4 linked regions of the Elephas maximus indicus genome follow. The protein of the gene in region 4 purifies or fractionates together with the protein of the main gene of each other region. This does not show direct contact. Links are inferred from orthologs where the notes say so. Each region holds a gene or a part of one and is shown on either strand. Other genes may lie near its edges.

Region 1 (7,522 bases), on a different chromosome or scaffold from region 4:
CTGGAGGGGCAGGTAAGTTATTTAAAAAGTAAATGCCCATAATTTCAATTCTAAAAACTTAAAGTTTCTTTGTCCCATGTCTGATCTCAACAACAAACCATTTTAACACCTGGATGAAAAAAGTTAATTTCAACTGTTCTTAGTGTCAGAAACCCTGATGGCGTAGCGGTTAAGTGCTACGGCTGCTAACCAAAAGGTCGGCAGTTCAAATCCACCCAACGTTCCTTGGAAACCCTATGGGGCAGTTCTACTTTATCCTATAGAGTCACTATGAGTCAGAATTGACTCTATGGCAATGGGTTTGGTTTGGTTTTTTGGTTCTTGGTGTAATCAACCTTCTTGCCCAGTCAACAGCTATAATCAGATGTAGTATGTGTTAACCACCATGTGTAATGAAATATATGGAGATTAAAATAAAATTTCTTTAGTGCAATTGCCTATTTAGAAGTTGGTGGTGATATCCTCTTTACAACGTTTGGGGCTAAAATCAAAAATCCTTACTTCTTAGGTTTTTCTTTATAAATGCTGCCTAGCAAAAACTAGCTCAGATAGAATATTTTAGCTCCAAGTTTAGTTTCTTCCTTTTGCTATTTCTGCCTTTGAGTCTGGGTAGGAGACAAGAAACATAAAGAGAAAGCATCAACAGTGCCTCTGTGTCCACAATTCATTCTAAATGTGGCCTTGCCATCTTTAGATTGAGTAGATCTATTTTGAGAGCTGGGTATGCCTCCAGGACAACATAAAAACCTACTCTATTTTAAACACACCAAAAGACTAAATGCAAAAGACCCCAAGCACTTCTGACTATGCTTTATAACTCTCTCTGTGACCAAGAAAACTGGTCACGTCAGGATAGCCACAATCCCTGTAACCTTCTCAACTTCCTCCCCTCCTCCTCCAATTACTTACAAAGATCCATAATGTGGTTCCTGCAGATGGCACAGTTATCAACCACAATATCCCAGGCCCAGAGGGCTACTGCATTCCACTGCAAAGAGAAAAAGGGGAACAATGCACTCGCCTTGTAACATAACATACACACACACACACTTCAAGTTGCATACCGCAGCAGCAGTTACCATCTCTTTGGCCACAGGGACCACCAAACAAAACAGTTTTTTCATATTACTCTTAGTTATTATATCAAATGACAACAGTAAAATTCATGTATATTCTCCCAATCTCTCAAAGGCTGATGTATGAACGCAGAATTTAATGTATCATCTTTGATCTTCTCCCTATAGCTTAAAATAATTTAAATCAGTCATATTAATGTAAGCAAATCATGAATAATTTTTAAGTGCCTGTTCTGGCATTAATAAGCACAAACTTGCATTACTGTGCAGGTTCCCCAGGCAGCTGCATAAGAACTCAGTATCTGCATAAATACCTGTGCTGCAAGGCAGCTTTGGAAGGCTGAGTGGGGAGGGGACAGCTAGGAACAGAATGAACTAAGATGATGACTGGATCATAGCATGGGTGATCGTGGGATAAGCTGGATAACTAACTACCCACTGTGTCAGTACACATAACAAGGTCATCACTCGAATCCTATGAAATCACTCCATAACCAACTCTAGAAACCACTAGAACTTTGTTTAGTTCCTACCATCAAATAAACTGATGCTCTCAACGCTTACATGCTCAGACGTCTACGTTTTGTTAAGAGAATTCTGACAAAAGTTTATCTAAAAGTGGTACTTAATTCAACCTTCCTGCTTCTGCCGCTATAAATACTCTGAAGCTCCCTTTTCATCCACTAATTTGGTGCCACCCCCAACACCATCTCCTTCAAACCTAATTCTCTCTGTGTCTCATAACTTCAGCACTTTTCATCCCACACCTCCAACTTGGGGGGAAAAAAAAGCGAGTTCTTTTATTCTTCAACATGGCTGCGGGCTGTAATTGAGCAGGCAGTGCCCACAATGAGCCGCCAAAAAGCACTTTGGATGGGGAATGTCGTCCGTGTTCAGACAGGTCGTCCAGGAATAACACCTTTCCTATTTCAGAATCCTCATTTTGAACAGATTTATTTTATCTTAGGTGGGAATCGACACATTTCTCCCAAACTGTTGGCAAGCCTAAAAGGCATTTCATGCAGAAAGACACGTTCCACATTCATGTTTTCCCACTTTTACCAAGTCATTCTTTACTAGCACTCAACCCTCCCTAAATGCCACAAGGTTTGGGTTCACATTTTAACGAATTCCACTATGCTTTCTTCTTTGTGGTGGGGAGCGTAAGGAGGAACTCTGAGCGTGACGGGGAACCACAGGGCTGGCAGTGCTGTGTAACAAACCAACAGACTTCTTAGCAGAGCCAAGCTTCTCACTTGAGACACTTTAACTCAGCGGGGTAAAGGCCAAAGAGAGGGTTAATGGAGGCCTCGACTGCGCGAGGACCAGCAGGGCACCCTCAGAATCAGAGAGGCTCCCAAGCTACAGAGAAGGGCGGGGCAAGGGGATCACCAGCCCGGCTCAAAGGCCTCCACTGCGGTAGGACCTCGGGTTCCCGGCTTTCGCCGCACTATCCCATCCTCCACACACCGCAGTCGCTCCGACTCCCCCATCCACTCACCCCACCCACTCCTTCCTCCACCCCTCAACCACTCCAGTGACAGCTCAGGCGCTTGGCTCCCGCAACCAAATCACAACCCCGCCTATCCCAATAAGCGCCTCCGTGATTGGCCCCACTGCTTCACGGCGAAACCAACACTGCCTCTGACACTGGGCCGCCGTCACGCTAATCAACGCTAAGGCCCGCCCCCCGGCTTCCTTTCGTGTACCCGGTCCCAGGAACGCCCTGAAATGAAGCCCTTTCCTTCGCGCCTCGGTCACCCTCGGGCCTGCCAGCCAGATCCGCGCCTCTCTAGCTTCTTTGAGGAAGGCGCTGGCGAGACCCAACCTTTTTCACTTCAAAGCGCTTCTTGCCCGCGCCGCTGTTGGTGCCGCTCGGGGTATCCACATCCATCGCTGCCGCCATTTTGGAAACACACTGTCTGGCGTCTGGCCACTGCGCAAGCGCAGGAGTGCACGCCTCACTTTCCCCCCACCCCCGAGCCCCTCCTCCCGCGCCCCACCCCACACTGGCGCGCACGGGGCAGTAGGGGCGGAGCACATGGCCACGCCTCTTAAAGGCGCTGCTGCGGTTTCCCCCCCGCCTGGCGGCCGCGAAGGAAGAGGTGGTGGCCCGGGGTCTGGGGCGGGGCCGGGCGGGGCCGCGCCGACGTGAGCAAGCCGGGGGAAACGGTCGAAAGCCTCGCTGTCTCGCCCTCCCCCAGGAAGCCCCCGGCCCCACTCCCTTGCTTGGGGCGGCGGCTGCTTCCTCCTCCTCTGGCCCGACCTGCGGCCGCGGCCCGGCCCCGCCTGGCCGGCCTCGAGGCCCCGGGTCCCCGCCGCGTTAGGCCAGGGAAGGGGCGAGTGTCGGGCGGCCGCCTGCTGCCGAGACCCCACGCTGGCCTTTCTTAGGTCCTGACCCGCATCCCAGCCAGGCTCGGGGTGCAGCCTCCCTCGGAGGCCCGAGGCCTTTTGGTTTCCTGACTTCCATCCGGGAAACGCTCAGGGGTTCGAAGGGGGGAGAGAAGATCCCCGAGCCTCCTTCCCAGGGCCAAATCACTGATCAGGCAACCTCCAGCCCTGCCGTCCCCTGCCCACCAGAAATGGAGGAGGCTTAGGAGCCGGGCGATGTCCTCTCCAGCTCACCTGTAGTACCCGTCAGTCCTAGAGTAGCCTTTGCTTTAGGTGCACGCCTTCAGCTTCACAGGCTTGAGGACCCATTCTCCACTCCTCCATTAGTCAGGTCCTTTCTCCCTCATACCTGTCCTCTTTTCGCTCCTTGGGCTATCGTCATACTGACCCATCTGCAGTCACTGTAATTCTTAATTTTTTGTGGGTACTGCCATTTGTCTCCTGGTCATTCTCTCCCAGCCAAAGCACACATATGTCTTCCCCCATTTCTAGACGAGCCCCCCCGCCCCTTTTACAGCTCTAACTTCGCAGACCTATGATTCAGCTAAATCACTCTTAAATCTTGGTTTATTTGAAATCTCGTATTTTCTCTTAGAAGAAAATTGGAGAGCAGTGGAGTCTGTTATACTCCATTGCTAAACCGGAAGAACTGCGATTTGTTTCCTTGTCTTAGTCATAAACAAGAACAACAAATCCGTGAAAATGCTACCACAGTTTTGACCAGATGTGGAAAGAGAAAAAGTGTGGGAGACCTTAAGGCATTATAGGAACTCGACAAAGTTTTTCATAGCCTGTTTTGTTAATGATTCCATGTTAAAATTTATGCCCTCTAATTTATTGTGTGCCTATGGACTCCTATACCCATGGAAGCAGCAGTCAAGAAATCAAAAGAGGCATTGCGTTGGGCAAATCTGCTGCAAAAGAACTCTTTAAAGTGTTAAAAAGCAAACATGTCACTTTAAAGACTAAGGTGTGCCTGACCCAAGCCATAGTGTTTTCAGTTGCCTCGTACGCATGCTAAAGCTGGACAATGGATAAAACCACCAAAAAAACTGATGCCTTTGGATTATGGTGTTGGCAAAGAATACTGACTATACCATGGACTGCTGAAAGAATGAATGGAGCTGTCTTGGAAGAAGCATAACCAGAATGGTCCTTAAAAGCAGGGATGGCAAGACTAGTCTCACATATTTTGGACATATTATCAGGAGGGACCAGTCCCCTGAGAAGGACATCATGCTTGGTAAAATAGAGGGTCAGGGAAAAAGAGAAAAACCCTCAACGAGATGGATTGACACAGCGGCTACAACAATGGGCTCAGGCATAACCACCATTGTGAGGGCGGTGCGGGACCCAGAAGTGGCTCATGCTGTTGTACATAGGGTAGCTGTTGAGTTGGAACCTACTCAGCGGCACCTAACAACAACATACTCCTGCATAACTTCTAGAAACCCATATAAGATTAAGGTATTGAGGACTTCATTATTCACCATTCAACAAATTCATTGAGTACCTACTACATGTTGCTGTGTGCCGTCGAGTCGATTCTGACTCCTAGTGACCCTATGTGACAGAGTGGAACTGCCCCATAGGGTTTCCCAGGCTGTCATTTTTACAGGAGCAGATAACGAGGTCTTTTCGCCATTGGGGCCACTGGTGGGTTTGAACTGCTGACCTTTCAGTTAGCAGCTGAGCACTTAATTATCGCGGCACCAGGGCTCCTTACCTACGATGTACCAGGCCCTATTGTTAATAGGAGAAACACAGTGATGATGGAGTCAGACCTTTCTAGTAGAGAAGTAATACACAAAGTCAAGAGCAGAAAACTTCAGGTAGAGAGGTAAGTCCTATGAAGAAAACAAAACAGGGTGAGATTGAGGGGAAGAGAGGGCAGTGTTAAGTCAGGTGATTAGGAAAGGCCTCTGTGAGAAGGTGACGTTTAGCTGCAGCCGAACCTGAGGAAAGAGCAAGTGCAAAGGCCCCGAGGCAGGAATGGGCTTGAGAAACAGAAGGCTGGATTTGGCTTCCAGAACTCCATACTCCTCTCCATTTTCTCCTACCTCACAGACCACACCATCTCAATCTCCTTTGTTGGCAACTGGGCTAGGTTCTCAATCCTCTTTTTCACTTACATTTACTTCCTTGGGTGATTTCTTCCCATGGCTTTAACGTAATGTCTACATACAAATAATCCCCAAATTTATATCTTCAGCCTTTGTACTTCTATATGTGGCAGGCCACTTAACATCACCACTTTGAAGTCCATAGATCTCAAACTTGACATGCCCAAACTGACCTTCCGATGGCCCAAAACCTGTTTTATCTACAGTTTTCCACATTTTAGTTTATAGCAACTCCATCCTTCCAGTTGCTCAAGCCAAAAACTTTAGAGTCATCCTTGGATTTCCTTTTTCTCAACACGTGCCCTTGTTGTATCAAGAAATTCTGTTGGAAAGACTGAACTGGACCATAAGACACAAAATTATACTGGTTAGGAGTGTGCTTCTTAGCTCAAGTATAGACACATGAGACTGAGCAGCTTCTGTCTGGAGGCGAGATGGGAACGCAGAGGGGGACAGGCTGGTTGAATGGACTTGGGAAATACAGGGTGGAGAGGAGTGTGCTGTCACATTGTAGGGAGAGCAACTGGGGTCATATAACAATGTGTGTCTAAATTTTTGGATGAGAAATTGTAAACTTTCACTTAAAGCACAATTTAGAAAAATACAAAAGAAAAAATTCTGTTGGCTATACCTTCAAATCGTACTCAGAATCTGATGCTTCTCACCATCTGTGACCGCTCTGATGTGAATTACTGCAATAATCTCTAGCTAGTCTCCTGTTTCTAGCCTTTTTGCCCTCCCTTTACAGAGCAGCCCACAGATCTAATTTTACAGTATAAGTCAGATCCACTTGTCTTCAGAAAACTCTCCAGTGGCTCCCCATTTTACTCCAGAAATGCCAATGTCCTTATGACGATTTAAAAGGTCTTGCATGATCGGCTTCTCCATTCACTTTGCTCTTTTTTTTTTCTTCTTCTTTTTTCTTTTTAACGGAGCCCTGGTGGTGCAGTAGTTAAGAGCTTGGCTGCTAACCAAAAAGTTAGCAGTTTGAATCCACCAGCCACTCCTTGGAAACCCGATGGGGCAGCTCTACTCTGTACTATAGAGTCTCTATGAGTTGGAATTGACTTGATGGCAATGGGATTGGTTTGATTTTGGTATGCCTTCTAATGGGGCCCTGGTGGCACAATGGTTAAGCACTGAGCTATTAACAGAAAGGTTGGTGGTTTGGAACCTACCCAGTAGCTCCAGGGGAGAAAGACTGGAAATCTGCTTCCGTAAAGATTTCAGCTTAGAAAGCCCTATGAGGCAGCTCTACTCTGTCACATGGAGTGGTCTGAGTCGGAACACCTTCTACTTTACTTTGTCATTTACTACTGTATTAGGTTTATTGTTTATAGTGTGTCCTCACCAAGAATAGGTATTTTTGGTTGTTAACTGGTCACATTGTTCATGCTCAGTATGTGTTCAGTGAATAAATTTAGAGCTTATTGAACAAGGCAAGAGTGGTAAGAGATGTCAGGGACGTAGGCAAAGGCCAGTTAAGGTGGGGATTTTATTACAAAGGTTATGGGAAGCCATTGGAGGGTTTAAGGTAGGGGACTGACAGTGACTCTTGTGAAGAAGCGACTGTAGGGATGCAAGAGAGGATGCAGCAACCATTTGAAGATTGTTTGCTTTGTATGCGGTGCCTGGCTGGTGCATGGCTGCTGTCTTAGTCATCTAGTGCTGCTATAGTAGAGATACCACAAGTGGATGGCTTTAACAAAGAGAAGTTTATTCTGTCACAGTCCAGTAGGCTAGAAGTCAGAATTTAGGGCGCTAGCTCCGGGGGAAGGCTTTCTGTCTCTGCTGGCTCTAGAAGAAGGTCCTTGTCATCAATCTTGCCCTGGCCTAGGAGCTTCTCATCACAGGGATCCCGGGTCCAAAGGACGTGCTTTGCTTCGGGTGCTTCTTTCTTGGTGGGATGAGGTCCCCCTCCTCTTTGCTTGA
Region 2 (7,032 bases), on a different chromosome or scaffold from region 4:
AGGAGCTCATAGCTAAGCAGGGATGATACAAGCAAATAATAAAACACAGCGTAATAAGTTATAGAGCATAAATATGGAGATACTGCAAAGTGTGTGAACACAGAAGAGGAAGTAACTAAATTTACCAGGATGGGGGGGCGGGGGAATTAAGGGAAGGCTCAGCTGGAGGGGTGCTATTTTAGAGGAATCATAAAGAATGAGTGGAATTTTACCAGACAGAAAAGGGGCAGGACATCAGGCAGAAGAAAAGAGCATTTGACTTGGAGTCTCAGGACATCTGGATTATAGTTTTCTTTTCATAGCTATTATTTGAGCAAATAATTTATCCCCTTGGGACTTACTTAAAAATAAGAAGCTTGTATTGACACCCTCTAAAGTCTCTTTTAGCCCTAATGTTCAAGGGTGTATTAGTTTCCTAGGGCTGCCTTAACAAATGACCACAAAGTGGGTGGCTTACAGCAACAGAAATTTATTCTCCAACAGCTCTGGAGACCAGAAGTCCAAAATCGAGGTGCAGGCAGGGTTGGTTCCTTCTGAAGGCTTTGATGGAGAATTCATTCCAGCCTTTCTGTAGGTTTTGGTGGCTGCCAGCAATTCTCGGCCTCCATTGTCACGTCACCTTCTCCTCTGTGCCTCCTTTCCCCTTCTCTTCTCTTATAAGGTCACTTGCCATTGGATTTAGGGCCTACTCCAATCCAGGATGATCTCGTCTTGAGATCCTTACTTCAATTACATCTACAAAGATCCTTTTTTTTCCAAATAAGATCACATTCGCAGGTTCCTGGTGGACATATCTTTTGAGGGCCGCCATTCAACCCACTACAGAGGGCATTCTCCAACTTAAAAGTCTTCAAAAGCTACCCATGGCCTTCAGGGTAAAGTCCAAATTCCAATCATCACATCCAGCCATATTGGACATGTCATAGGCATTTACTCTCTGACTGGAATTGTTGCTGTTGCTGTTGTTGTTGTCACTGCCTTTGAGTTGGCCCCTGAGTCATGGTGACCCCATGCACAACAGAACAAAATGCTGCCTGGCCCTGTGCCATCCCTATGATTGGTTGCAGATCTGACTATTGTGGTCCATAGGGTTTTCATTGGCTGATTTTTGGAAGTAGACTGCCAGACCTTTCTTCTTTCTTAGTCTGGAAGCTCTGCTGAAACCTGTTCAGCATCATAGCAACAGGCAAGCCACCACTCACAAATGGGTGATGGATGCGTACGAAGTGCATTGGCTGTGAATTGAACCCAAGTCTCCCACATGGAAGGTGAGAATTCTACCACTGAACCACCACTGCTCCCATCTGACTGGGATTAGCCTCTCCCTAATTTTCTGTGTAATTGGCTACCTAAAGGTTAGTAGTTCGAACCCACCCAGCAGCTCCATGGAAGAAAGGCCCGGCAAACTGCTTCTGTAAAGATTATAGCTAAGAAAATCCTATGGAGCAGTTCTAACTTTCTAACACATGGGGTTGCCATGAGTTGGAAATCGACTTGACGGCAACAAGTTGTTTTTTTGTTTTACTTTTCTGTGGGAGTCCCTGGGAGGTGCAGACCTTTAACGCACTTAGCTTCTAATGGAAAGATTGGAGGTTTGGATCCACCCAGGCGCACCTCAGAAGAAAGACCTGGCAATCTACTTCCAAAAAATCAGCCGTTGAAAACCTTATGGAGCACAGTTCTACTCTGGCACCCATGGGGTCACCATGAGTTAGAATGGACTCAATGGCAACTGATAATTCTCTGTGGATTCAAATCCTTCAGGGTAAACTTAAATGTTACCTCCTCCAACATGTTTTCCTCTCCCCAATCAGAATTATTCTTCCTACCCTCTAAACCCACTGCCATCGAGTCGATTCCAACTCACAGCGACCCTATAGGACAGAGTAGAACTGCCTTTCGTACTTTTATTATAGCACTCTAGCTATCTCATCTCTAAGAGGTGATACCCTACTAAAAGAATATCGATTCTGGAGTCAAGAAGGGATTCTAGTTCTTCCTCTGTTACTCACTGGTTGTTAGGTGCCATCGAGTCGGTTCTGACTAATAACGACCCTATGTACAACAGGACGAAACTGCCCAGTCCTGAGCCATCCTCACAATCATTGCTATGTTTGAGCCCATTGTTGCAGCCACTGTGTCAATCCATCCCCTTGAGGGTCTTCCTCTTTTTCACTGACCCTCTGCTGACCCTGGTGGTGTAGTGGTTAAGAGCTGTGGCATACCTTTCCAGATTTTGAACCACTTAGTATCCCCGTGTTCTGTCCGAACAACTGCCTCTTGATCTATGTGCAGGTTCCTCATGAGCACAATGAAGTGTTCTGGAATTCCCATTCTTCGCAATGTTATCCATAATTTGTTATGATCCACACAGTTGAATGCCTTTGCATAGTCAATAAAACACAAATAAACATCTTTCTGGTATTCTCTGCTTTCAGGCAAGATCCATCTGACATCAGCAATGATACTCCTTGTTCCACGTCCTCTTCTGAATCCAGCTTGAATTTCTGGCAGCTCCCTGTTGATGCACTGCTGCAACTGCTTCCGGATTATCTTCAGCAAAACTTTACTTGCGTGTGATATTAATGATATTGTTTGACGATTTCCCCATTCTGTTGAATCATCTTTCTTTGGAATGGGCACAAATACGGATCTCTTCCAGTCAGTTGGCCAGGCAGCTATCCTCCAAATGTCTATGAATAGACAAGTGAACGCTTCCAGCGTTGCATCCGTTTGTTGAAACATCTCAACTGGTATTCAGTCAATTTCTAGAGCCTTGTTTTTCACCAATGTTTTCAGTGCAGTTTGGACTTTGATCATATGCTACCTCCTGAAATGGTTGAACATCGATAAGTTCTTTTTGGTACAGTAACTCTGTATTAGCTGTATAATATTGGGCAAGTAAATCAGCTTCCTTACCTGTAAATGGGGACAATAATAATCCCTAACTCATGGGGTTGTTTGTGGATTAAATGAGATAATGTTTGAAATTCATCTAACATTTAATAGGTGCCTCTCACTTTTTTTTTTTTTCTCGCTAGAGCGATGGTTCTTAACCTGGGATTCATGGCCACTTAGGGAATACATAGATGAGCTTTGGGGATCTAAAAATATTCCTGGAAAATATCTGACATTTTGTATGTCCATATGTGCATTTTTCTGGGAAGAAGGCCCATAGCTTTCATCAGCATCTTGAAGGGCTTGTGAATCAAAAAAGATTAAGAACCTCAACACTAGACCATATGAAGGCTTCTCCAGGTTAGAGAAGGAGCCCTGGTGGCGCAGCGGTTAAAGCCATGAGTGCAAACCGAAAGATTCAAAAAAAAAAAAAAAACCTGTTGCTGTTGAATCGGTTCTGACTCACAGCAACCCTACAGGACAGAGTGGAACTGCCCCGCGGGGTTTCCAAGGAGCGGCTGGTGGATTACCAACTGCCGACCTTTTGGTTAGCAGCTGTAGCTCTTAACCACTGTCACCGGGGCTCCTAACTGAAAGCCTGGCGGTTCCAAACCATCAGCGGCTCCGCGGGCGAAAGATGTGACAGTTTGCTTCCTTAAATATTTACAGCCTTGGAAACCCTGAGGGGGTCCCTATGAATGAGAATCTATTCAACCGCAGTGGGTTTTTTTCTTTTTAGAGGATAGAGACAGCCTTTCAGGGCTTGATAGGTGCTTTCTTATGCATACATAGTTTTTAGTCTTCTCAACAGTCCTTTGAAGAACATAACAGTATGCTCACTTTTCAGTTGCAGAAACGAAGAAGTAGCTTGTAGAAGGCAGTTTCGAATCACTGCGAATAATTATTGAGAAGCTTTTCTAGGCCAAGAACTGAGGTAGGCGCTGGGAACCCAATTTCAGTCACAGCTCAGAACCCTGGTTCAGCACCACGGCTGCCTCCGCCTTTGGAAGTTTGTATCTCCAGCACAGTACTTGGCTCAAGAGCGTTTCACAGACTTTTTTTGCTGGGTGAAATAGATTTTCCGCCGCTCGGTAGGAAAAGCTTTCTGGGCACGGAGCTCCACCCCACGCTGGGCCGGCCCCGCCCCCACTGCAGTCGGTATTGTCGGACGGTTCCCGGTGTCCCTCGGGTTCACTCGGTAGTTTCCGGCAGTGATCGAGAGTTTGTAACGTTCCCCCTCGTTGTCTCTCGGCCGCGTCCCCCCAACTGCCGCCCCCCTTTTCGGCTCCCTCTCCCCCTTTTCCCCCGCCTGAGCCTATCCCTGCTGGCGCTTCTGGCGCTACGGGCTGGGCAAAATGGCGGCCTTCGGGATCTTGAGCTACGAACACCGGCCCCTGAAGCGGCCGCGGCTGGGGCCTCCCGATGTGTACCCTCAAGATCCCAAACAGAAGGAGGTGCGTTCATTAATCGGGGCTCTTGCGGGACTAGGGACAAGCGATCAGCACAGGAGGAGGCATTGACGGCTTGGGGGAGGGGGCGAGGCGATTAGGTGGGAGCAAAGTCCCGAAAGGGGGAAGAGTAAAGTGGGGCGGTGTGGGAGAGTAGGACCTAGCTATGGGGGCTTCTGGCTATAAATAGGGAATGATGTAGGGGCCACACCAGAGGCATCCCCCCACACGTATACACATACGCTTCAGAAAGTTGTCTGACGGTAGCTTGGTGAGGTAAGGCTGTTCTCTAGGGAAGAGTGATGTTGAGGGAGTACTGGGTGGTTGGGAATCTTAGTGACTGAGGAGGTGAGGGTGGGGTCCAAATGAGTAAAAGAGCCTAGCCTTAAATAACAATCTATTTTACTCAGAATCATCCTTCTACCCTTTTTCCTTGTACCTTCCCTCCCCTTGCCCTCCTCTTTCACCCTTCCTACGCCCAGGGGGGGAAAAAAAGCTAAAATGTCATTTTCCTGCCTTAGGATGAACTGACGGCTTTGAATGTAAAGCAAGGTTTCAATAACCAGCCTGCTGTCTCTGGGGATGAACATGGCAGTGCCAAGAACGTCAACTTCAATCCTGCCAAGGTGAGGCAACCCTGCCAGACTGAAGGGAAAAGGCTGGAAGAATCTGAGAAGGAGCAAAAGCCCTGGGTTGGGAAGACTTAAAGAGACAATCTAAATGGCTGAGTTTTCCATTGTAACCTAATGCCACAACAATGGTATTTGTATATCAAAGGCACAACCAACCACCTATCTGCCCCTTCTTCCCACCCTGAGGTATAGTTTTCTTCCCTCAGATCAGTTCCAACTTCAGCAGCATTATTGCAGAGAAGTTACGTTGTAACACCCTCCCTGACACTGGTCGCAGGAAGCCCCAAGTGAACCAGAAGGACAACTTCTGGCTGGTGACCGCACGATCCCAGAGTGCCATTAACACCTGGTTCACGGACCTGGCTGGCACCAAGCCACTCACACAACTAGCCAAAAAGGTGAGATACTCTTTCCTGTTCTTCGGGCCAAGGGGGGAGTGTGGATACCAAGTATGCTGCTATTCCCATATTAAGCTACATCGATACCAGCTCATGGGGTAATAGAAACCTCACTATTTGTTATGTCCATCCAGGTCCCGATTTTCAGTAAGAAGGAAGAAGTCTTTGGGTACTTAGCCAAATACACAGTGCCTGTGATGCGAGCCGCCTGGCTTATTAAGATGACCTGTGCCTACTATGCAGCAATCACTGAGACCAAGGTTAAGAAGAGACATGTCATTGACCCCTTCATGGGTGAGTAACTCCTAACACCAGGTGTATCACTGACCCTTTCTAAGAATGATAAATCCTTGGAATTATTCTCTTTCCTAAACTATATTCCATTCTTCCGCTTGTATCTTGCATTCACTCAATTAGTAAACATTGAGTATCTTGAGTATAAGTAATATGCACGTACTGGGCTATAACGATGACTAGTACATAATTCCTGCCCTTCGCGTGCTTATTGTCTAGTAGGGATGTTAAGGCACATGTACAAATAACATAATTAAAATATAGAAAGTAGCAAATGTTAAAAGAGGAGGCAGAAAATTCTTTGAGACTTCAGTCAGCAAAAAGTTTACTTTCTTTGGTGGACAACTGGGAAGGCTTTAGGAAGGTGGCATTTGACTCTAGCCTAAGAAGTTGAATAGGATTTATAAGTATGTGATTGGGGGTGGGGGTAGGGGACAGAAGAAATTCTACACAGAGGGACAGTATAAAATAGCCTCTTCTATCTTTCCTCTAGAGTGGACACAGATCATCACCAAGTACCTATGGGAGCAGCTGCAGAAGATGGCTGAGTACTACCGGCCAGGGCCTGCAGGAAGTGGCAGCTGTGCTTCCACTATCGGGCCTTTGCCCCATGATGTGGAGGTGGCAATCCGGCAGTGGGATTACAACGAGAAGCTAGCCATGTTCATGTTTCAGGTAGGGAGTAGGGCATGTAGTGTGTGGGGCATCGAACTGAGCCTTACCTTGCTTTGCTCTCTGCCAGTATAGAACAGAATCAGCCAACCACCTTGCTCCTGTTGTGGTTTCTTTCATCCTTTCATTTGCTTTTTTTTTTATAATTTTTATTGTGCTTTAAGTGAAAGTTTACAAATCAAGTCAGTCTCTCACACAAAAACCCATCTACACCTTGCTACACACTTTTTTTTTTAATGAGACAGCCCACTCTCTCCCTCCACTCTCTCTTTTCGTGTCCATTTCACCAGCTTCTAACCCCCTCCGCCCTCTCATCTCCCCTCCAGGCAGGAGATGCCAACATAGTCTCAAGTGTCCACCAGATCCAAGAAGCTCACTCCTCACCAGCATCCCTCTCCAACCCATCGTCCAGTCCAGTCCCTGTCTGAAGAGTTGGCTTCGGGAATGGTCATTTACTTTTCCTGCCTCATCTCTAATAGTCCCTAGACTGAACTAATACTCTTCCCACCCCGGTACCTATAGGATGGAATGCTGGACAGGCATGAGTTCCTGACCTGGGTACTTGAGTGTTTTGAGAAAATCCGCCCGGGAGAGGATGAGTTGCTTAAACTGCTGCTGCCTCTGCTGCTTCGGGTAAGGCACTAGGACTTGGAGGGGGTTATAGGGGGGACTTGAAGGATAAACTTTAGA
Region 3 (6,895 bases), on a different chromosome or scaffold from region 4:
GGAGGGGCCTGCAGAGGGGGTGAGGCAGGGGGAGAGTGAGGGGCCTGCAGAGGGGGTGAGGCTGGGGGAGAGAGAGGGGCTCCCAGAGGGGATGAGGCAGGGGGAGAGGGAGGCACCTGCAGTGGGGGTGAGGTTGGGTGAGAGGGAGGGGCTCCCAGAAGGGGTGAGGCAGGGGGAGAAGAAGCGGCCTGCAGAGGAGGCGTGGCCATAGAAGGGGGAGTGGTTTGTGGAGGGGGCGTGGCCAAGGGAGAGGGAAGGACCTGCAGAGGCTGTGAAGCCAGAGAAGGTGGGACCTGTAGGAGGGGTGTGGCCAAGGGAGAGTCTAAAGGACAAGGATCCTGCGGAGAGAGTGTGGTCAGGAAACAGAGAGAAGCCTGCAGAGCAGCTGTGGCCAGAGGAAGATGGTCCTGCTTCGGAAGCGTGGCCTGAAGAGGAGATGGAGACAAGAGAGCTGGGGCCTGAGTAGGGGGCGTGGCCAGAGAGGAGGGCAGGCCCTGCAGAGGGGGTGTGGCTAGAGGAGAGGGCGGGTTCAGCGGAAATATTGCCGGAGAGATTGGAGCCTGTGGAGGGGGTGTGGCTGGTGGCGAAGGAGCCAACAAAGGAGGTGTGGCCAAAGGAGAAGGAAGAGGGGACAAAGCCAGAGAAGCCTGGGTAGTGGGCATACTCTGCAGAGGGGGTGAAACTGATGGAGAGAATGGAGCCAGAAAAGTGGGCGTGGCCAGGGGAGAGGCGCAGGCAGTAGTAAAGGACTTACCCTGGCAAAAGGGTGGAGCTTGCAGAGGGGGTGTGGCTGGTGGAGAGGGGAGGGTCGTTCGAGGGAGGGTAGAGGAAGGAGGAGTTAATGGAAGAGACGTGGTCAGAAAACAGGTGAGGTCGTGGGAAGGGGATGTTGCTGGTGGGGAGGGCAGGGCCTGAAGACCGAAGTTGACGGGCAGAGGGGGCGTGGTCGGTGGAGAAGGAGGGAGCGTGGCAGGCAGCCGGGAGGCAGTGATTTGGGTAGGTGGTGCCTGCTGTGCGCTCGGACCCTGCGGAGAGGATGTGGCCAAAGGGGAAGACTGGCTCCGCCCAGAGGCTGCGGCCTTCCTTGGGGGTGTGGCCTGCGGGGGGCGCAGACCCTGGGGTCCTTTTGACTGGGACTGGGAAGGATGCCCCGGAGCCCACGGTGTTCCTCGGGCCGAGGCCCCGGAGCGGGCTGGAGAGGACAGAGGGGCAGTGCTGGAACCCAGGGGGCGCAAGGCTGGCCTCTGGAGGCCCCCGCCAGCACTGGGCCGCCTCCTGGCGGTGGGGCTCGGTTCAGCGGCGCTGCGCTCCACCGCGCTGCTCACTGATCTCCTGGGGGCCTCGGTTAGGGGCCGCGGCCGGGCACTCGGAGCTGCCAGGGGGAGTCCCACCTCGGCTTCGGGCAACCGGGACCGACGGGTGACGACCGGGGATGGAGCACCGGAAGTGGGCCTGGAAGAGTCTAGAGGCAAAGCAGAGGGCCAAAGGGTCACCACAGGTCCTCCCTCACTGCCCAGGAACCTCGCTTCTCCCCAGGTCATGTACCTCTCCGCGGCCCGGCGCTAGGGCCGCTCCTTCTGGGAGCCCCCGGGGCTTTTCCTCTGGCCACAGGCTCCTCAGCTGAGGGTCGCAGTCCCTTCTGGCCAGCAGGCCCCACCCTGTGGAAGGGAGGGGCAGTGCTCAGGGCAGACCCCTAGCTCCTTGTTTGACCTCCCAAGTCTCCATTTTTCCATCTGTGAAATGGGGCATTTACCCTCTCCACAGACTAATAACGGCTTTCACACAACTTGCGCCCAGGAATCTGCAAACGTTCAAACGCCCCCTCAACTTATGTGTAAAATTAAAAGGTTTCAGATAGTGACGCAAACCCTTGCCTAGGGGCTTTTTTTTTTGCGGGGGGAGATGTTGTTACCTGGCTGTCCCGCTGGCATGTGCCGGGCTAGACTTACAGCCCGGGCCCGGAGCCTTGGCAGGGGTCCGCTCCACTCTCGCAGCTTCTGGGGGCCTGGAGGCTGCGGGAACAAGCCGAATCAGCTGTGCCCCGGAAGGCAGGAGGTGGGGCTAGTGCCTCGGGAAAAGGGGCGGGGGAGATAGGGCTGGGGTCGGAGAAAGAGGCTGGGGTACCTGGACTCCGGGTGCCTGTCCCGGTGCTCTGCGCTGGTCCCACCCGGGGAGCAGCCTTGGGGAGAGTGGATCCCCCCATGCCCCCGGCTCGCTCTGCCAGGGGCCTTCGCCCAGCTGCTCCCAGAACTCGGAGGGCTGCGGTGGTTACTGGAGGAGGGGGTCGAGGAGACCCTGGCGGCCTAGGGGTCGGAAGGCCAGGAGGGCGAGAAGCCGGTGTCCGCGCAGTGGCCCCAGCCTTGGCCTTGTCCCTTTTGTCCATCCTGCACCTGATGAGCAGAGTGACCCATCAGCATCCCAGGTCCTGCACCGTGATGCTGCCTGCGGGGACTAGGGTCCTTGCTGCCTTTTCCCCAGCACCGCCACTCACGGGCGCCGGAACCTCAGCCTGCGCCTCCATCGCTTCCCTCCATCCTACCCACCCACAAGCGCTGCTCTTCAGCTGGTTGTCTCCAAGTCCCAACCCCACCACCTTCCCCAAATGCTGGAAGCCCTGCCCGCCCTGGCCCACCGCCGCCCCACTGCCCCTCCTGCTCCCTTCCAGGACCCGAGATCCACGCCCCCAACCCTCGCCCCCTCGGGGACCCAGACGGCCAGTCACTGGGACAGGGAGCCACCGCGGGCTCCAGAGCAGGGGAGGAGGCCCGGAGCACCCTCCCCGGCCTTCCCCAGGGACCCCGGCACCTGCCGGTAGAAGGAGCGGCTCCGGCTGCCCGAGAACGGATTCAGGAGACAAAGAGCCGCGTCTCGGCTGGCCCCCTCCCCGCCCAGCCCAGCCCGCGCCCGGCCCTCCACCTGCTCTGCTGCGCTCACCTCCGGCTCCGGCCGCCTACCGCTCGCACACCGGATGCCTGGGATGGGACGGGTCCGAAGCCTGGGCGGCTTCTGTAGCCGAAGAACAAGGGGAGGGGGCGGCGGCGGCGGCGGCGGCGCGGGGGAGCCGGCCGGCCCCGCCCCTCGGCCGCGGGAGGGGAGGCGGGCGTGCGCGCGAGGAGGCGGCCGGGCGCGCGCTCCAACCAGAGCCGGAGCCGCGGGCGGGGGCGCGCCGAGGGGCGGGGGAGAGGCGCGCGCTGGAGGGAGGGACGGCGGCCCCGGGGTCTGGGGGCGACCTGTGTCTGCTGCTGCCGCCCGAGGACTCCCGAGACCGGACGCGACGGACCTCCAGGAAATCTCTGGGGAGCCCCTCTCGACCATCTCACCCCTCATCCCCCGACCCACACACCTGCCCCGGTCCGCACCCCAACCACCTGGCAGCCCAGACCCTCCCGGACGCTGATAGGCTGGGTCCTGGCAACCAGGGGGCGGGACCAAAGCGCCTCTGGCTCAATCGACCAACCCTGACGCTCCGTGGCCCTGGTCTCTTCGCCTTCGCGACCTCGGGGGCCGGGCTCCCCGCCAACCAACGTCCTTGGGGGGCCTTTGCCCCTCTAAACACCTGGAGGCTTTTCCCAGACCCCGGAAATCCCCTTCCTGGTTGGGGAGGGGAGCTGCTGGGAGACAGCCCTGGGGATTTAAGGGATGCGAGGAAAAACGCAGATTTTGGGGAATACAAGAAGAAAGAAGGAGAGGGAGGCAGAGAGACAAATAAAATGGCAAGAGGTGACCCCAGCTTTCTGCAGGGCAGAGCACCCCGACAGAGACTTCCCCAGGGAGCCAGGCTCTGGAAGGAGAGAATTGAGTGTGGGGAAGTTGGGAGGTGACAAAACAGGTGCCTGAAGGAGGTGCAGAGAAAATCCTAACCCAGGGCCCCAGCCCAGCTGCAAGGAGTAAAAAACAACAACAAAAACAGTCTGTCGCCCTGATTTCAGACTCACGGCGACCCCATGTAAAGTCCCTGGATGGCTCGAACAGTTGGTACGAGATTCCTAACCTAAAGGTTGGCAGTTTGAGCCCACCCAGCAGTACAGCGGGGCAAAGCCCTGGTGATCTTCTTCTGTTAAGATTACGGCCAAGAAAACCCTGTGGAGAAGTTCTGCTCTGTAACATATGGAGTCGCCAGGAGAATTGACCATAAGGCTGCTGGATTCGAACTGCCGACCGATTGGTTAACAGCCGAGCTCTTAACCACTTTCCCACCAGGGATCCCCGCAGGCAGTAGGAGGTGTCATTCTGGTGACTTGACCAACCAGCACAGGAGCCTCAGTGAAGGGCCTTGATAGGGAGCTGACATGAAGGGGAGGAAGCATGAAGGAGAGAGAAGGCCATCTTCAGTTGGCCTCTTGCCCCTCCTCTTGTCCTGGAGGTTGTGCCTTGTCCCCTGTGTCAGTCATGCCCCTTCACTGTGCTTTGCTGCTTTCCACCTCGATGCCTCATTCCTCCAGACTCGCAGCACCCCCCCACAGCACCCCAAAGAGCCAGCTACCTCTGCCCCAGCACTACCTCCATCACTCGCACTTACACGTACATCACACGCACACCACACACACACACCCCACCACACACACACCATGCACCACACACGTACACCATACACACACCATATACCACACACAGCACACTTCACACACACACCACACATACCATACACCACACACACCATACACCACACACACCCCACCACACACACACACTCCACACGCACACGCCCTTCCGGGACTTAGGAAAGGATGAGACTGGCACCTGGATGATGTAGGGTAGAGGTGGGTGGGCGTCACTAGGCTGTGGATGGACACAAGGATTTGGGCTTTCTCGCTCTGGGAGTTATGCCCACAGTTGAGGTTCAGAAGATGGGAGAGAGAGGTAGTAGCGTCAGAAGCGAATGCTCACTTAACAACAAAAAGACAAACAACACAATTAAAAAATGGGCAAAGATCTAGACCAGGCATCTCACCGAGGATATTCAAATGGCCAACAAGCACATGAAAAGATGCTCGGCATCCTTAGCCATCGTCGGTTGTCATTGAGTTGGCCCCTGAATCCTGGTGACCCCATGTGTCACAGAGTAAAACTGCTCCAAAGAGTCTTCTTGGCTATAATCTTTACGGAAACAGATCACCAGGTTTTTCTTACGCGGAGCTGCTGGGCAGGTTTAAACCACCAACCTTTGGGTTAGCAGCCAGTGGCAAACTGCTTGCACCACTCAGGCTTCTACTAGAATGTCAGAGATAAGAAAAAAACAGAAAACAACAGGTATTGGCAACGTTGTGGGGAAACTGGAAACTTCATCCATTGCTGGTGGGAATAATGTAAACTGGTGGGCGCAGCCACCGTGGAAAACAGTTTGTTGGTTCCTCAAAAAAAGTTGAACATAGACCACTCCTAGGAATAGATCCTAGAGAAATAAGAGCCATCACACAAATAGACAAATGCAGACGCATGTTCATTGCAGCATTATTCACAGTAGCAAAAAGATGGAAACGACCTGAGTGCCCATTAACAGATAAATGGATAAACAAACTATGGTATAAACACACAATGGAGTACTACGCAACAATAAAGAACAATGACGAATCTGTGAAACACCTCACAACATGGATGAATCTGGAGAGCGTTATGCCAAGTGAAATAAGTCCACCACAAAAGGACAAATACTGTATGAGACCACTATTATAAAAGCTCAAGAAAAGGTTTATGCGCAGAAAGAAACAATATTTGATGGTTACTAGGGAGGGAGGGGTGGGGAGGGAAAAACACTAATTAGACAGTAGATAAGTGGTAACTTTGCTGAAGGGTAAGATAGTACACAATACTGGAGAAGTCAGCACAACTTGACCAAGGCAAGGTCACGGAAGCTTCCTAGACACATCAAAACTCCCTAAGGGACCGAATTACGGGGCTGAGGGCTGGGGATCATGGTCTTGGGGGGCATATAGCTCAATCGACATAACATAGTTTATAAAGAAAATATTCTACATCCTACTTTGGTGAGTAGCGTCTGGGGTCTAAAAAGCTTGTAAACAGCCATCTAAGATATTCCACTGGTCTCACCCATCTGGAGTAAGGGAGAATGAAGAAAACCAAAGAAAGACACAAGGGGAAGATCAGCCCAAAGGACTAATGGACCACAACTACCACAGCCTCCACCAGACTGAGACCAGCACAGCTAGACGGTGCCCGGCTACCGCCTCCGACTGCTCTGACAAGGATCACAATAGACAGTCCCAGACGGAGCTGGAGAAACAAGTAGAACAAAATTCTAACTCACAAAAAAAGAGACCAGACTTACTGGTCTGACAGAGACTGGAGAAACCTAGAGAGTTTGGCCTCTGGACACCCTTTTAACTCAGTCCTGAAATCACTCCTGAGGTTCACCCTTCAGCCAAAGATTAGACAGGCCCATAAAAGAAAATAATAAGACTAAATGGGTACACCGCCAGCCCAGGGGCAAGGACGAGAAGGCAGGTTGGGACAGGAAAACTGGTAACGGGGAATCCAAGGTCGAGAAGGGAAGAGTGTTGACATGTCATGGGGGTGGCAACTGTCCTAGTCATCTACTGCTGCTGTAGCAGAAATACAAGTGGATGGCTTTAACAAAGAGAAATTTATTTTCTCACAGTCCAGTAGGCTAAAAGTCTGCGTTCAGGCCTCCAGCTCCAGGGGAAGGCTTTCTCTCTCTGTCGGCTCCGGAGGAAGGTCCTTGTCTTCAGTCTTCCCTTGGTCTGGGAGCATCTCAGCGCAGGAACCTCAGGTCCAAAGGACACGCTCTGCTCCCAGTGCTGCTATCTAGGTGGCATGAGGTTCCCCAACTCTCTGCTTGCTTCCCTTTCATCTCTTGAGCGATAAAAGGTGATGCAGGCCGCATCCCAGGGAAAATCCCTTTACCTTGGATCAGGGA
Region 4 (7,609 bases):
CATCTAATTTTAGGGAGAGTCTCACCCATTCTCTGTTTTTTCACTTGTTTGTTTCACTGTTTTGTTGTAGTACGATTACATCCATATACCCAACTTTTACCTTAGAATTTAATGTCCCAAACAAAGTTCACTGTCCTATTACTAAATTCTTTTTTTAGGGTCACTATGAGTTGGAATCGACTCGATGGCAATGACTGTTTTTTGTTTACCATCACACTGAAATACTGGAGGCCTTTTCCAGTGCTCTTTTTCACTCCTTCCTCCGTATAGCCCCTCGGTGACCATGGCAAAAAACTTTTGGTTTCCTACAAAAACAAAATCCCAATCCAGGCATAATGCTTTTGGCGTAAAATGTAATCTCTCCCCAATCATGTGAAACTACCCACTCATGAACATTGTTCTCAACTGCTTTTCTGGGCTATAACCCATGAATCTGCACAAACATAAACTGACCCTAACCATACGCAACCCCACCCTCTGTATTCCCATCAAACTAGCTTCCTAATTACATCTGCCTCTCCCACCTGAAGTCTCCAATTCCACTTTCCACTTGCTCTTTTCTCTCCAAAACATAACGTAAATGAGCTTCCCTGAAAAGACTGTCCCAGATTTGGCTCAGATACTCCAATTAGTTCTGTACAGTCCAGCACAAACATTACCCTAATGAAAAATGTAGATACATTCACATTTACAAAGTACCAAAACACAGTTATCAGTCATATATCCATTACCATGGAGTCAATTCCAACTCATAGCTATCTTATAGGACAGAGCAGAACTGCCTCACTGGGTTTCCAAGGAGCAGCTGGTGGAGTTGACCTGCCAACCTTTTGGTTAGCAGCCGTAGCTCTTAACCACTGCACCACCAGGGATCCTCAGTCATATAGTAGTCTTAAATACACTTTAGTTCATTCGCCCTTTCCTACAATTCTGTGCAATTTGTGTTTGATTGCCTCCACTGCCCTTAAAGAAAAGCATCTTAAAAACAGGGACCCCCTACTGCTTTGTCCTTCTTTGCTACCAAAATATACAATAAAACATTCTCATGGTTTTTTACCCAATCTATAGTCAAAGCAATAAAATGCAGGTCCTAAAGCTGGTAAACAGGAGCCTTGGTGGTACAGTGGTTAAGCGCTCTGCTGCAAACTGAAAGTTCAGCAGTTCGAACCCACCCATCACCCAGCGAGACAGATATGGCAGTCAGCTTCCGTAAAAGATTATACCCTTGGAAACCCTACGGTGCAGTTCTACTGTCCTACAGGGATGCTATGTGTTGGAACCAATTCAGTGGCAAAGGGTTTGGTTTGGGTTAAACTCGGTAAGCAATTCTGATCAAGTACAATCTACACTCAACTACAGTTTGTTGGTTTGTCCTACCCTCTTCCAAAATACAGCCTATGCAAGACTAGATCTGTCTTCCTCATATCTTTGTGAAACATGGAATACATGACTTACCCAAGGTCACAAAATAAGAACAGATTTAGGGGTATTTGTTTCTGATTCCAAGTCTAACGCTATATCCACTACTCAATACTGTGATCCCAGTAGCCATTTAAAATACATACAATTTAAAGTTCCTTACAAAAGCATAACACCAACAGGTATCTCAAGAAAAAAAAAAAAAAGAGTTGGAGAAGTTCTAGAAGTGAGCAAAGTAATCAGGGAGATGGAAAAAAACTACTCTAAAACAGACAAGAGTTGGGAAAGACGATGGTAAAGAAGAAAAATCATGAAACTGAAAAGACGAACTTCAGCTTTTTCTAGCATCTCTCAAAACACAAACTCTGGATATGCTTTGAAACTTTAAGGATGCAGGTTTGAGATAAATAAGTGCACTGTTAAATAATTCAGAGACTAATAAACCTGAAAAACTCACTACTTAAAAAAAAAGTACAGGATGGAAACACTGAGAAAGTTTTAAATAAATTTGATCAAGATCCTGAGTAGAGAACTTAGGATACTGACAATTAAGCCCAAGTTTGCATACATTCCCAGTCAACATCTCTTAGCAGTGCTTCCATGAGAACTCCAACAGTGGACTGGATGAACCACAATTCCCAAGACAGTACTACCTGCGTTCTGCTGTATAAAATCCCCCTCCATGTTTAACACTTAAGGCTGTATAAATATATCAAATGATAATTACTTTCAAGCACCTCTAATTTGGTACTCTGAGAAGTTACCTGAAATACAAGCCAAAGATCTTACTGACTTCAACTTTAAAATGACGGAAGAAAAAAATCATTCTTGAAAACTGTTAAATATCAAAACTTTCTCCTAAATTGATGGAGAAGTGAAAATAACTCAAATAATGAAAACTTCGAATCATTTTGCCAAATAAAAAAGTACCATCATTTAGGACATATGCTACTCAAGAAAAAGCATTTGGGTGAAAGCAAAAATGCAACAACTTGTATAAACTGTACTAAATGCTCTCACCCAAATAAGTTGTGATTCACAAGAACTGAGAATTTCCTGAGCAACTGAAATCTGTTACACTGTCCTCCCTACACACAGACATTGGACCATAGAAATGAGAACATTAAAAAACTGGATCAATGAAGCTGTCTCAAGAAAGACTGCAAAAAAAGAAAAACTTAATTTCAGAGGCTTGTGGAAAGTGGTTCCCACCTGAGAACCCATGTGAGAGCTCCCCAGAAACAAAAACTACAGCACTGCATCACACCCGGTGTACCAGGAAAAGGTGTATTTCGGAGATGTTCTTTGTGCGCACCTATGCTCTGGCTTCTTTTTGCCCTTTTGGCCAGAAACCGGTGCAAGTACCCACTCCGGAGAAAAGACAGAACTCCTCTAAGAGAATTCTGTAAACTTGGCAAAACTCGTACAAAGAGGTACAAGGTTACAAAACACAAGACTACCTAATACCATCTCCCCTCTGTAGGGAATACAGGCAACACTCTCATCGATACGCCCCCAGGACACCTGGAGAACATCAGCAAAACCCCAGGAAAAAACACCCGCATCTTCTCACACCCCCCGCCCCCCAATTCCCTTCCCCAGGGCCACTCACACTTGAGGAGCGAAGAGTAATGACCGTGGCGCTGAGAAAGTGGGTTGGTTCCCTTCCTCCTCCGGACTGAGGCGGCGGCTGCGGAAGGCTCCGGCGCGTTACTGAGGAAGCAGCGGTGCTAGTGTCTCTAAACCAGGCGGCCACCCGGGTCTCTTCCGCGCGGCCGAGTGAGAGGCGGCGGTGGCCCCGCTTACCTCCTCTTTTCCTCTTCCCGGGTCTCGTCAGGCTGTGGCTTCTGCCCTTCCAGGGCCACTTCACCCGAGACAGTCACGTCTGAAGGCGCCGAATTTTGTTTTTATAAAAAGTTTCCTCTGGGCGGAGGCTGCGGCCGGCCCCCCGGGTCCCCCCCGGCCCCGCCGCCCTGGGGCTGGGGCGGGGGAGGGGGCGCTGAGAACTCCTCCCGGAGCCCTGCGAGGAGCCGGGGGGCCGGCGACTAGCCAACGGAGAAGGCCCCCGAGGGGGCTGAGGGGAAGGGGAAGGTCGGCGGCGCCGGTGCTGCTCTCCTCGCCGCCCCGGCCGCCGCTTCACATCGGGGTCCCCGCCCCCCCAATCGGGGGGTGGCTTCTGAGCTTGGAGTCCCGGCTCATACACTCCCGGGCGAGATGCTACGGCCCCGGGCAGGTACACGACGCGGCGGCGAGACGAGGGACCCGGCCGGCTCCGCTCGGCGCCGCCCCCGCTCCCGGCTCCCGCATGTGTCGCTGCGGCTGAGACCCCCTCCCTGCACCTTGGGAGTCCCTCACTCACGCCCCGGGACGAGGCAGAAGCTCCGGCCACTCCTCAGCGTCCTCTCAGCGCGGAGAAGCTGCCCAGCCCCGGCCCGCGGTCGCCGCCTCCCTGCCCCCAGCCGCCGGCTCCGGCTCCGGCTCCGGCTCGGGCTCGGGCTCCGGCGTGTGCAGCCGCCGCTGCCGGCCGGGAAGGTGAGGGGGGGTGAGGAGGGGCGGCCGCGGCTCCTGCTGGCCCAGGCTAGGACGGAGGTCTCGGCGGTAGCCAGTGCACAGAGGCTGGGTCTCTCGGACGCTCCCTCGCTCTCACTCTCTCGGTGGCGGTAGCGCCGGGAGCTCGGCTCGCAGTGTTGCTCGCTCTGTGCGGAGCTCTCGCCTCACTCTAGAGAGAGGGGCGGGAGGAAAGTGGCGCATGTCGATGACGCAAGTCACCTAGCAACCGCTCTCGTCCCCCCTCCCTTTTTTTCCGCTCTGAGGCTTCCGCCGCTGGCCTTTTTTTTCCCTTTCCACCCACCCCGCCCTGGGCAACTCTGACGCGCTCTGATGACGCTCGAAGGGAAGAGGAAGTCGGGGATCGGCGAGCGGGTGGGTGCGCCTCGGGCCGCGGGACTCGCTGCGGCCGCCGCCGCCGCCGCCGCCGCCTCTGCGGCCGCGTCAGAACTGAAGAGAGGAAGGGGAGGAGCCGAGTCGAGCCTAAGCTGCCGCCTGATCTTACCCCTGACCTGAGAGCGGCGAGGGAGCTTGCTCTGTAGCGGTTTCCTTCAGGGCAAGTGGTGACTGCTCCTTTGGGAGCTAGGAGGAGGCCCAGGCCGTGCGACTGCGCTCGGGCGTGCATCACCCAAAGGTGAGGCATTTGGCCCAAAAGGGGCCCTGAGCCGGACTGAGCGAGAAGTTGTCCTGTAGACTGCTTCGCTACACCTGCTCGGAGGAGCGAGCGCCCCGCTCTTCCCATGGTGTGGGATGAGACGCAGCGCTCGATAGCTTGTGGTCGGGCCAAGCAGATGTTTGATGAATGAATGAATGCCTCCCTCACGAGTCACTGGAGGAGCTCAGAGGAGATGATGGAAGTGCAAGCGCTTTGTAAACTGCAATGCATTATAAAGATGAGAGTTGTAATGTACCCCCCTCCTATGGAACTACATAGTGGTGCGGCTTGAGTACGAAGTCACGACCTGAGTCTTTGTTGAAAAAGGAGGAGAATTGCTGTGGGGTGGAGGGGGTAAAAGGGAGCCAGCCTCCCGTAGATCGTTGGTGGGGCAGGAGAGAGGGGAATTCGAAGAGAGCCAGCCTCTGGGAGATTGTAGAAGGATTTCAGACTTTTTCCAGGGGAGAATTTAGCACTGCCTCACTTTTAGTAAAATCATTCTTGCCTGTGGTTGTAGCTTCTTGACTGGTCTTGGTTGTCGTTCAGTGTCCATTAAGCTCTTAAAGAAATCTTGGCATGTGTTTTAGATCTGACTCAAAGGCTTTTTTTTTCTGAAATAAATATTATTATTGTTACGCAGCGTTTCCGACAAATGTTAGCTTAGAAAATAAATTCAAGTAAAAATTCATGAAGTTAAAAGTGTAGTTCTCTAGGGGAAGAAGAAAAGGATCAGAATTCTAAGAAATCTGTCTTGAACCTGACCTGGTGGCTAGTGTGAGAAGGAGCTAAAAGCAGGAGGAATGATGAAAGGAAGCAGGTTAGATAGTTCTGTCGCTGAACCGCACACACCTTACCTCCTTGGAAGCAGCAGTAATGGGTATTTCCAGCTGGGGGATAGAAGCTGGCAGATTTGGGGTACTACGGCAACCACCATATGCAAACTGTAGACTAAGGAAACCTCTAACTGGGCAAATCCAAGGATTCATTTTTATTTAAATGTTGCAGAGAAGGGGATGAGAGGCACTCCAGAAGCAAGGCATGACTCACAAAGCAGCATCTGACCCTACCGTTCTTGACCTCAAGTCCCAAGAACCAGGATAAATACCCTGCATTTGATTGTCTTTACCTAACCAATCCCTTGCTGTATCCTTCCAAATAAGACTCACAGGAAGTCAGACAAACAAGCAGCGGCCCCAAATGGCTACAAAATAAATCTTTGGTTTTTGTCCCTCTTCCTGTCGTACAGTAGGGGAATGGTGGAAATTGAATGAGTAAAAAACACAGGCTTAGGAGAGTTTGTGAAACTGAACAACTCAGATTTTTAGCTCCTGGGGCTTTAAATGAGAAGAGTGCAAACATCAGAGTTCCTTCCACAGGCCAGCAGGGTGCATCTCCAGAAGAGCCGCACAGGATTCTCCAGCAGCCCCATCTGTTTGTATTGTCAGTGACTGCACCTCAGAGCCTCAGAGCTGATAGAACGTCACTGAGGAGAGCTCTGAGACACCTACTTACGAAGCAACAGCTGCACCAATCTTACTAGGCAAGATCGGCCCACCTTACCACCCACCATAACAGGAGGGAACAGCTGGAACTGGTGACTAGAGAGGAGGAACATTTCCAATTTCTACTTTTGTTCCTTGTGTGGCTTATTAACTCAGAGGAGCTAGTTAACTCAGAATTCAAAAATCTGAAGTTTAGGTAACAGGTCTTCCTGTTTCATCAATTTGTTCATGACAAAGATCTGCGTATCATGGTAAAACATAACAAAGGGATAGCTGTATAGTGTTTTTTTACCGCTAACCCACGAAAGCGAGGTCTTAGAAACTATTTAATCAAGGTTTTAATATCCCACATCAGTGGTTTTTACTGTCAAAGATGTAATAAGCTAAATTATTCAGCAAAATAGCTTATTTCTAAAAGATACCATATGCAATTCATCTAGTACATCAATTTTAGCGTTTTCATTGTGAAGTATACATAAAAATGCATAAAACAGTTATACAGTACATTGAGTGATGATGAAGGAAACCACCATGTAACCAATTAACCAGGTCAAGTATTGGAACATTGCAAGTATACCCAAAGCCCCCTGGTGACCTTTCCTGACCATAACTTGCCCTCCCTGCTCTAGGTAACCATTATTCTAACTTTCATGATAACCATTTCCTCACTTTCCTTTATTTTATTACAAGCATGCATCCCTAAACAATATATTGTTCAGTTTTGCCCTTTCTTTTGAACTTTATTTAACAGGGACTACATATTTACATAGCGTGTAATCTATTGTACTTCTTTTTCTCAAAACATTGATTTTAATCCATGTTGTTGCATTTAGCTGTAATTTATCCCTTTTCATTGGTGCACATTACAGGGTTCCATTGTAGCAACATGTCACAATTTATTTAGCTGTTCGGTTGTTGATGGACATCTGGGTTGTTTCCATTTGCAGGCTTATAAACACTGCTGCTGTAAACATTCTTCATATATGTCTTCTACCATATCTACCTCAATTTCTCTAATATATACACCTGGGAGTGGTTATACGTATCACCAAACTCGAATAAATAATGCCATGCTATTTTCTAAAATGTTACACTCCCACCAGCTGTGTCTGCATCTCATTGTTCCCTACCCTCAACTACACTCACTAATGTCAGTCGTTTTCAGTTTCGCCAGTCTGATGGGTGTGTAGTAGTATCTCATTGTGCTTTTAACTTGCATTTCCCTAGTTACTGATGCTGCTGAGGACCGTCTCATATATCTACTAGACATTTGGATTTTCTCTTTTGTGAAGTGCGGTCTTACCTTACTAATGTCTAATCTCTGATGCCTCATTTTCCAATATTCTTTTGCATTCCACCTTATTTCAGATAAGGTTATACCACCAAATAATAAGTTATAGCTGTGTTAAGTTCTTTCCAAAATAATAATTATAGCTTACTTCATTCTATTTTTAAACTTCTTAAAAGTAAGACTGTAGGACTATTT

Evidence for each region.
Region 1: the proteins of FBXW7 (region 4) and RBX1 purify together in Homo sapiens (affinity purification with western blotting; 8 studies listed by BioGRID and IntAct, with this or other methods). This does not show direct contact. The link is inferred for Elephas maximus indicus from reciprocal best matches to the Homo sapiens genes FBXW7 and RBX1.
Region 2: the proteins of FBXW7 (region 4) and MED12 purify together in Homo sapiens (affinity purification with mass spectrometry; 3 studies listed by BioGRID and IntAct, with this or other methods). This does not show direct contact. The link is inferred for Elephas maximus indicus from reciprocal best matches to the Homo sapiens genes FBXW7 and MED12.
Region 3: the proteins of FBXW7 (region 4) and PRR36 purify together in Homo sapiens (affinity purification with mass spectrometry; 3 studies listed by BioGRID and IntAct, counting the BioPlex papers as one, with this or other methods). This does not show direct contact. The link is inferred for Elephas maximus indicus from reciprocal best matches to the Homo sapiens genes FBXW7 and PRR36.

Annotation. Positions count from the first base shown.
Region 1 is NC_064822.1:185,113,777-185,121,298, reverse strand, and holds the start of RBX1 (E3 ubiquitin-protein ligase RBX1), read right to left. Parts: upstream 3,016-7,522; 5' UTR 2,983-3,015; coding exon 2,905-2,982; intron 989-2,904; coding exon 910-988; intron 1-909. UniProt on the Homo sapiens protein: E3 ubiquitin ligase component of multiple cullin-RING-based E3 ubiquitin-protein ligase (CRLs) complexes which mediate the ubiquitination and subsequent proteasomal degradation of target proteins, including proteins involved in cell cycle progression, signal transduction, transcription and transcription-coupled nucleotide excision repair.
Region 2 is NC_064846.1:98,567,407-98,574,438, reverse strand, and holds the start of MED12 (mediator of RNA polymerase II transcription subunit 12), read left to right. Parts: upstream 1-4,023; 5' UTR 4,024-4,253; coding exon 4,254-4,352; intron 4,353-4,867; coding exon 4,868-4,972; intron 4,973-5,184; coding exon 5,185-5,376; intron 5,377-5,510; coding exon 5,511-5,670; intron 5,671-6,163; coding exon 6,164-6,345; intron 6,346-6,864; coding exon 6,865-6,975; intron 6,976-7,032. UniProt on the Homo sapiens protein: Component of the Mediator complex, a coactivator involved in the regulated transcription of nearly all RNA polymerase II-dependent genes.
Region 3 is NC_064821.1:12,609,628-12,616,522, forward strand, and holds the start of PRR36 (proline-rich protein 36), read right to left. Parts: upstream 3,003-6,895; 5' UTR 2,935-3,002; intron 2,391-2,934; 5' UTR 2,384-2,390; coding exon 2,125-2,383; intron 2,013-2,124; coding exon 1,913-2,012; intron 1,659-1,912; coding exon 1,546-1,658; intron 1,463-1,545; coding exon 1-1,462.
Region 4 is NC_064831.1:31,103,327-31,110,935, reverse strand, and holds the start of FBXW7 (F-box/WD repeat-containing protein 7), read right to left. Parts: upstream 3,026-7,609; 5' UTR 1-3,025. UniProt on the Homo sapiens protein: Substrate recognition component of a SCF (SKP1-CUL1-F-box protein) E3 ubiquitin-protein ligase complex which mediates the ubiquitination and subsequent proteasomal degradation of target proteins.